2 linked regions of the Saccharomyces cerevisiae S288C genome follow. The protein of the gene in region 1 purifies or fractionates together with the protein of each later gene. This does not show direct contact. Each region holds a gene or a part of one and is shown on either strand. Other genes may lie near its edges.

Region 1 (5,700 bases):
ACCTAAACCCTCTACTAATGTAGACGATCCATTGAGTGCTGTGACAAGCGGAATCAATGCGTATCTAGAGGCTGTGAAAAGTGGTCCTGTAAGAGGTCAAAGAAACAAGCTGAAATTCAGGAAAAATGGAAAGGACTCTGATGAATTTGGCGATGATGATGATGGTGAAAAGGATAGTAGGCTAATGAGAGGAAGAGTAAATCAAGGTAACAAGATTGGCAAACATAATAAGAAAGGTCCAAAGTTCAAATCTAGAAAAAAATTATAGAAGATTGAAACTGAGCAATATGGCTAATTACACACCTGGAGAAAAAATCAGATATGTATATATAAGAATATTATAATACTGTATATTAAAAATGATTAAAATAAAGAAAAAAATGAATCGGGCGTTTAATTGCTTATTATCTTGAAGAAGCGAAAGTACACTATATAGTAATAATGTGAGGTTAATTAAATATGGATGAGATAATGACGAAAGAAAATGCAGAAATGTCGTTTTAAAAGTAACCCCCATAATCTAGTGAGGTTCGACGTTGAAATGTGCTGTCCATATCTTCCTGCTCTGCCCATTTAGTATCAACATTTGAGTCGAATTGAAACATTGATATGTCACGGTCATCACCATGAGGAGACTCTGTTAAACTTTTATTGTTCTCTTTAAAACTTTCCTCATTGTTATTTTCTTGAGACTTTTGGTTAGGGCCTTCCACTTCGCCAAGTGATTCAAGCTCCTCATCCTCAAATGAAAGAGTTATATTTTCTAACCTATTTTCTTTTCTCATTATCGGCAGTTTGCTAGTTACAAATGGATTTTCTTGGATCTCTGTTAAGGCATCCTCATCTCTTGGGGTCATCGCCGAAGGCATCCTATCTTCGTTTGTTATGGTAGTGTGGTGATGGCGGCTTAGAATGGAAGATTTATAGCCTGCAATATGTGGTAAAGCCGGTACATTTTGAGATTCTTTTTTGGAAGCTCTTTCAATCATGTTTATACGTTGTCTAGCAATGACTAATTTGATCCAATCATCTAATCCATTATTATTTATTAGATCTTCTATCAACTCTGTTTTTCTATTCTTTGTTTCTAATTTCTGTTTCGCACCCTTGTTTTGCAGTAATTGATTGAGATAGTCAGGTATTGCTGACAAAGGATCAGATTCTTTTTCCTCACTTTGTAGTAATTCTACTGTGGGTAAGGCAGTTATTCGCGCGTCGGTCAATTGAGTACTATAAATACACCAGTCCTTGAACTTTTCCATTCCTCGTGAACTTGATAATTCGGAGTTTTCATCATAGACATCCAGAACGTTCGTAGGCTTAACAATACCTAGATTTTCCAGAGCCAGAGTTATATCTTGTAAAGCAATTGTATCGTCCTGATCACATCTTGCCTGAGCGATAGAACTGACCTCTGATGCTAACAAACTCAAGAATTTTGCATAGAGATCGGTCATGACATCCACCAGACTGGGCCTTGCCCTGTCAAATCCTTGTGCCTTCAATAATTGGAGAATAGATATGCGTAGTAGAGCAAAATAGAAGTCATTATTTGTAGTCATAGCAGAGGAACTCTATTGACCCAAAGATATCGCTGTTTTCCGCTAGTAGGTGATTTGGAATTGCTCAGGAAGCTACTTCAAGTGTTATATTAGCATACCTTCATCATGCAATATGAAATTACTGAAAAAAAAAACTAAAGCATCGCGAGCTTACCCGTTTCGCCACTTCTGTCAAGTGAAAAAACACGTTTGCATTGTTTAGGCTACAAGGTGTGGAATATCGAAGTTATTGCTAGACAGAAGTTCTTTAGGCATTTAGGTTTTGTTTGTGAGCTGGCTTGCTAATTTTGAGTACTGTGCATCATTGTTCCAGGATGTCTTCTTTATCGCTATATACTGTTCAGGCTGTTTTAATACTAGATCAGCAAGGAGAACGAATTTATGCAAAGTATTATCAACCTCCTCATAGATCTGATGAAGGACACCAATTGCTCTTCAATTCGGTGAAGAAGCAAAAAGAGTTTGAGAAACAACTATACCGTAAGACTCACAAGCAAGATTCGGAGATTTTAATCTTCGAGGATCATTTAGTCCTTTACAAAGAATACATTGATATCACGATATATTTAGTTGCTTCGCTGGAAGAGAATGAAATTGTTCTTCAGCAAGGATTTTCAGCAATCAGAGGAGCTTTGGATTTGATTTTGAACTCAGGAATGGACAAAAAAAACATCCAAGAAAACTATGATATGGTTTTATTAGCTATTGATGAAACCATTGATAATGGTGTTATCCTCGAAACTGACTCTAACACTATTGCATCCAGAGTTTCTAAACCACCTACGAACGAACCCCAAATGGCATTAGATTTGGATAAGGGTTTCTTAGGCGCGTGGGGTTTCGCAAAGAGCAAGTTTCAAGAAAGGTTACAGCAAGGCTTATGATCACAAGGCAAAGCGGATAGAAGAAAATTTTAGCTGGTCTTATATGGTATATATGCAGTGTCTTACTTTCTCCCTTCCATATATATGTATCTACTTATATATATAAGTATATGTTGCTCATTTAGAAATGATTGTCACCTCATGCTAATCATTTTATTCTTCTCGTTGGTCTGTGATGAAAAATAATGAAAAAATTATAATTGCTGTCTATTTTCTTTTCATCTCATATGATTTAGCGTTTTTTTTTGCCCTTCTTCGAAGAGTTACCACCGTTCTTGGTGGATTTCTGCCCAGCGATTGTTACTTTTAACTTGTCGACACAGAGCAGAAGAACCAAGTCCTGTTCCTTCAAGCCTTTAATCATTTCATGTTCTTGGGGCCAATCCATTTCGTTGTCAGTTGAAGAACCGTCTAGTGGTCTACTCTTGAAATAATGTAAAATTTCAGTTAAAGTCTTAGTTTTCTTCGCACTTCCCGGTTGTATTTTGACTTTGTATTTATATTTCAAAAGCGCAGGCCAGGGGGCAAATACTGGTATAATATCATCAACCACATCGCCCTTATCGAGAGATGGTTTTAATTCGGACTTGTGTTTATCATAGTTCACTCTTGCTTTCTCTTTTTTGGTGAATTTTAAAGCCTGTAGTCTTCTTTGTTTCTCGCGTTTATTCTTTCTATCTTCTCTAACTTCTCGCTTCATTATTTCTTCTTTCTTCCTTTGTTGCTGCTTTTCGATACCCTTCAAAGTACCCAAGGCCTCCAAACGCAAGAGACGTTCAGTTTCATCCTGGTCGGCGTATTTCTTTTGAATTTTCTTCAATTTTCCTCTTTTACCACGGACGTTACTGTTTATGTTTTCGATTAAAGATATCGGAACACCTGGTTCATCAAGGATACGCTGCGTACTGCTATTGTCATTTTTGGCTTTAGCATTTCCAGAATCAGAGTCGGTATCGGATGATATGGTGCAATGCTTTTCGATGTCTTTTTCAAGATTATCGTGTTCAAAACTGTTGTTTTTCGTGCTATCGTTTGAATCTCCACCCTTCTCTAACCCATTGACCTCGTTACTATCGTCTTCATCTTGCTGTTGCTCTTCTTCTTTTTCTTCTTCTTCTTTTTCTTCTTCTTCTTCTTCTTCTTCTTCTTCTTCTTCTTCTTCTTCTTCCTCTTCTTCTTCTTCTTCTTCTTCGTCATCATCACCATTATCCTCATTTCCACTGGTTTTCACTTTCCATAAAAATCCAAAACCCATCACAAGTTGAGCAGGGGGTAAATGGTTTTGATCATTCTCATTTTTCAACCGAAAGGCACCTTCTGGCAGAATGGAGTTATCAGAGCCATCGAATTTACTAACATTCTTTGCAAAGCACCACCATGGAGAAGAAGATATCTTCTTCGACCAAGCCTCGCTTGAGGACATGCATAGTATACCCGCTTGCATCAAAGTGTTCGGTGGAACTTCTGTTTTTTCTGGATTTTTGATCCATACATGAGAGTTAAAACTATTGGACATATAAATATCATCATCTTCAATATATTTTGAATAGATTTGATCTGTCTCAGCCGGACTTTTACCCATCATGACCAAAAATCCTTCACTTGAAATAAACCAACTATATTTTTCAAAAAAGTAAGGAGTGCGGATCTTTTTTAAGACACTGTGAGAATCTTTTAGCTTTTTTTTCAATTGTTGATCAATTTTGACTTCAATATTCTTCATAGCCTTGCCGACATTCTTTTCGACTTTTTTCTGCTTTTGAGCACTTGTTTTTTTGATATTGAAATATTCAGTGGCATTGGCATAAGCTGATAAACCAAGGTCAATTGTAACGTTTATCTTTTCATTAGATTTTCTTTTCATACTTTTTGTACTCCTCTCCTTCGAACTCTCCATGTCTTCTGAGTCTGAGTCACTAGAACTATCAGTAGTATTGCCTTCTGATTCATTGTCCTCGTCTGAAGAAGTGTTGAGTTCCTTGCTAGAGAGATCAAGCTTGACGCTAATTTTGTTCTGTTTCAAGTTCAAAGGCAAGTTCAAAAGCTGAGCAATTCTGTTGCCTTTTTTTTGTTCACTTTTAATTAGTTTCTCAATAGTGTTCCAGTCCATTTGTTGATCGATTAGACCCTGAACAGCAAGCTTAACTTCCTCTATTAAGGGTGCATTTTCAATTATGAGATGGCCTTTCCTTTCATTTAGTTCTTGGACGTCTAATAAAGCTTGTATTTTTCTATCATTTTCGGCACGAGCATCATCGATTTTCTTTTGCGCTTGCGATTCCTGATTTTGTATACGTAGAGCATACTTAGAGGATTCTATTGTTGAGAAAAATTTGTCTAGCGTCCTATTGTAAGGACCTTCAACTTCAATGATACAAGAAGAGTCAGTGTCTCCCCCATTTATATATGGCTTAAAGGGATGGAATGTATCATAAATAAATTCCAAATCGGCAGTATCTTTTTCAGAGATATAATTTTCATTTCTTTTGGCCAAAATGTAACCCTTTCTATCGGTGGTAGTTAAAAGTTGATTATATTCTAACTGAGTACTGTTTAGCAATTCGGCGAGTGAGTCTGTTTCCTCCAAAAGATTTAAACAAGACTCTGAAGGGTCGATATTGAATACCTTAAGGTTCTTTGATAATAAATCTGAAGACAAATGAGGGACTTTCGAAAGCAGCAGTTTATGGATGGAAGGTACTTTCACTTTTTTTTTTTTAGCGCCCTCCTTCCCTTGAATGTTAAGTTGCTTAATAACAGTAATGTCTGATTCATACTTGGCTTGAACTGCTTTTATCCACTCGTTGACTAGTTCAGAGGTGTATTCTGCCTTTCTGTTTTTTTCTATGGATTCATCAGCAGACTCGTTATTTGTGGTAAAAAGTGATTCGTCAAACATTTCATAAATTTGTCCGACCTTATTTTCATGCTCTAGAACGACTCTTTGCAAAGCCATAATTCTTCTGTTCTCATCTAGAAGAATGACATTCCCTGCACTGAAAAATTCCAAAACTAAATAGAAGTGGCCATCAGCAAATTGTAGAACAAGAATTCTATCCTGGTCTACTTGCTTTAAAGCTGTTAACCGTTTAGCTTTAAGATGCTTCCTTAGTTTGACAACAAAGCCGGAAGGAGTTGGAGGTATTGGCCTACTAAATTCAGTTAAGTAAATTCTTAAGCCACAATCGACAACAACATTGAGTTTAGAATCTGGTTTATTAAATTTCAGCAAAAATTGTTTTGAGGAATCGGCA
Region 2 (2,996 bases), on another chromosome or scaffold:
GTAAAAATAACTTACCGCAGGAGACATTTTTTACTGATAACGATCGCTTCTAAAACTCGTTAGTACAGGCTCGTTGTGACTTAGAATCAAATAATAGATGGGTTAGGAGGCGCACGTACCTTCCTAAGCACAGAAGGGAGCTTAAGTTGCTGTTTCAGGCGGTGACTTAACAATACATCTTAACTATCCAATGCTGACAGCTGAGTATTGCAACACAACTATCAGAGGGAGGAGTTTGCCGTTACTAATGTAGCAGGGTTTTTGAATCTAAAAGAATAAATGTACCAGTTGAATCCTAAGATTTTACTTGGAAAAATATATAAATAAGAAAACAATGCATTCAAAATTGTGCCATTGTAATGACAAGTGTTTTTGTTCAGCACCAACGCAAACTCAAAACCCCTTTTATAGAGCAAACGCCTAATTAATAAATCAAAGGGACATATGTACTACGTATATCTGAATCAAGCCTACGTAAACGGGCCTGCCAAGTAGCTATATCATTTTTTTGTTTTCTTGAGGTTTTTAGGCCCCTGCTTCCTAATCTTTGTTGCCTTCGAATCTGTTGATTGTTTAGCGCTATTACGGCCCGCTGCTTCCTCATCATCATCCGTCACCTGCTGCTCATCCTCATCCTCTTCCATCTCGTCACCCTCTTCATCCTCTTCTCTGTACCTCTTTAATGAATTTTGATTGTCTGTCTCATTGAACTGCTTCTTAGCTTCCGTAATCAACTTATTAGTAGCTATCAGTTCTTCTGCTCTCCCAAGCTTTATCGGGTCTTTACGGAGGGCAAACTTGAAATCTTCCAATCGGAGCTTATTGCGCTGAGAATTCTGGGCTGTATGGAATGCGTTAGTACAAACATCCACCAAATATCCAGATACCAATTCATCCAAACACTGCACAGTAGCTTGTAGTGGCTGCGGCACATCGCCGTAAGCGTAAAGCAAGGAACTTACATCCTTGTTAAACAGATTCGTTTTTTTCAGCTTCCTAGACATATCTTATCCAGCTCACCCTCGCCTGCCGTTACCTTTTGGATTTCATGTTGCAGTTGTTGATGAACCTTCTTTGTTATCAATGACTCTTCGCCTGCGGTTTCCGCTAGAACTCAAAAATAAATGAAAAAAAAATACACCTTGCGAAAAGCATCTCTTTTAGATTTGATGCTTTAGTGGGCAATAGTTACCGATATCAGTACCTCGAAAATTTTAAGTTGCAGATATAATGGGAATTTCCAGCAAGAATGGCCCTAAAAAAATGGGAAGGGCAAAGACGTTTACTGGGTGTTGGACGTGCAGAGGAAGAAAAGTTAAGTGTGATCTTCGGCATCCCCACTGCCAACGATGTGAAAAGTCTAATTTGCCTTGTGGCGGTTATGATATCAAACTCCGGTGGTCTAAGCCTATGCAATTTGACCCGTACGGTGTCCCAATCCCACAAAATTCTCCTGCAACTACTACGAACTTATCAGGTAGTGTCGATGAACCACAATACCAACGACGGAACATCGATTTTGTGCGCTATGATGAAGAATACGTGTATCATGAAGATATGGATGATGAGCTAACAATGCTGCATACTCCCCCAATTGAGAAAATAAGCGATAACAAGACGTGGATCATAAAGAAATTTGGGGTGTTTAAAGGAACAGATAAGATCGACAAGCAGTACGCTCCAAGGAAGAAGCGCAATAGGAAAAGAGTTGCCAAAAGCTTGGAGAGCTCAGCTTCTATTTCGTTATCTTCTTTACCATCTTCTTCAACTATTTCCTTTCCAATTAGACATATTGAAGACAAGTTGAGAAATAAAGGGCATGTAAAGACAGGTATTCTCTCTGCTAATGATGGTGTTCCACCAACACCAAATCTTTTAGATTATGACTGGAACAATCTGAATATAACAGGTTACGAATGGATCTCGAGTGAACTCAGAGATGATGCATTATTGTCAGCGGTGACCTTACAGGGACATCACTTAGGACACACACAGCCACAAGAAATCTCATTAGAGGAAAACTCTAATGTCGTGAGTGGGGAAGAGCATGTGAATGCCAAAGAACATGGATGTGCCTTTGAGGCTGATAATCAAGGTTCATCAACTTTACCTAATAAAGCAGCCAGTGCCAATGATAAACTTTACCAGCAAAACTTGAAGTTACTCTTCCAGAAAAACTCTTCGAACAGTGAGGAACCAGACCCTCAAGCATTGATCGACGATGTGTTCGTCAATATTGAACCAAGATCTCTGCCCGCATCTGATCTGAATAAAATAACTCTAGCTCCTCCAAATGAAGAATCACGCATGCCTAAGTCCATGTTAGAACTCACATCCTATTCCAGTGACCTACCACCTGAATTGGTAGATATTATACCCAAAACAGACCTTACCGTACATGGTTTAGCGAGATTTCTTTTAAATCATTATTTTAATAATGTTGCAGATAAAATGACAGTGGTCGTGCTCGAAAAGAACCCATGGAAAACATTATACTTCCCCAGAGCCTTGATGGCATTAGGCGATTTAGCGGGTTTGGGACAATCCTCCAACTCGAGGAATGCGTTGTTGAATGCTCTTCTTGCTGTCTCTTGCTTCCACTTGCAAAGCAAGTACCCAAGGAACTACAAACTACAAAAATACTTTCTGGGCCTAGGTATCGAATTGAGAAATCAAGCCTCGAACTTTCTAAGATTATGTTTGAACACAAAATCAAGCATACCTGAGAAATATAAAGACGTACTAACTGCGATCTTATCTATGAACTCTATTGATGTTGTATGGGGGACGATGGCAGATTGCCAGGATCACTTGGCTCTTTGTGAAGACTTCGTTGAGTCAAGAATGAAACTAAGACCTAATATTTCTGAAAAGACAAAAACCTTACACAGGATTTTCTCGTTTCTGAAGTTAATTCAAGATAGCACTGCGTTGGATAAAGTCAGGGCAAAGGAAATTGTTATTTTACCAAGTGAAGAAGATGATAATTACAAACC

Evidence for each region.
Region 2: the proteins of TAF3 (region 1) and TAF13 purify together in Saccharomyces cerevisiae (affinity purification with mass spectrometry; 5 studies listed by BioGRID). This does not show direct contact.

What each region holds. Positions count from the first base shown.
Region 1 is NC_001148.4:533,142-538,841, forward strand, and holds TAF3 (Taf3p), read right to left. Parts: upstream 1,563-5,700; coding exon 501-1,562; downstream 1-500. Other genes in the region: mRNA-binding protein RRP12, read left to right, coding at 1-268; RET3 (coatomer subunit zeta), read left to right, coding at 1,877-2,446; RQC2 (Rqc2p), read right to left, coding at 2,679-5,700. UniProt on the Saccharomyces cerevisiae protein: Functions as a component of the DNA-binding general transcription factor complex TFIID. Binding of TFIID to a promoter (with or without TATA element) is the initial step in pre-initiation complex (PIC) formation.
Region 2 is NC_001145.3:75,275-78,270, reverse strand, and holds TAF13 (Taf13p), read right to left. Parts: upstream 1,005-2,996; coding exon 501-1,004; downstream 1-500. Other genes in the region: ARG81 (Arg81p), read left to right, coding at 1,231-2,996. UniProt on the Saccharomyces cerevisiae protein: Functions as a component of the DNA-binding general transcription factor complex TFIID. Binding of TFIID to a promoter (with or without TATA element) is the initial step in pre-initiation complex (PIC) formation.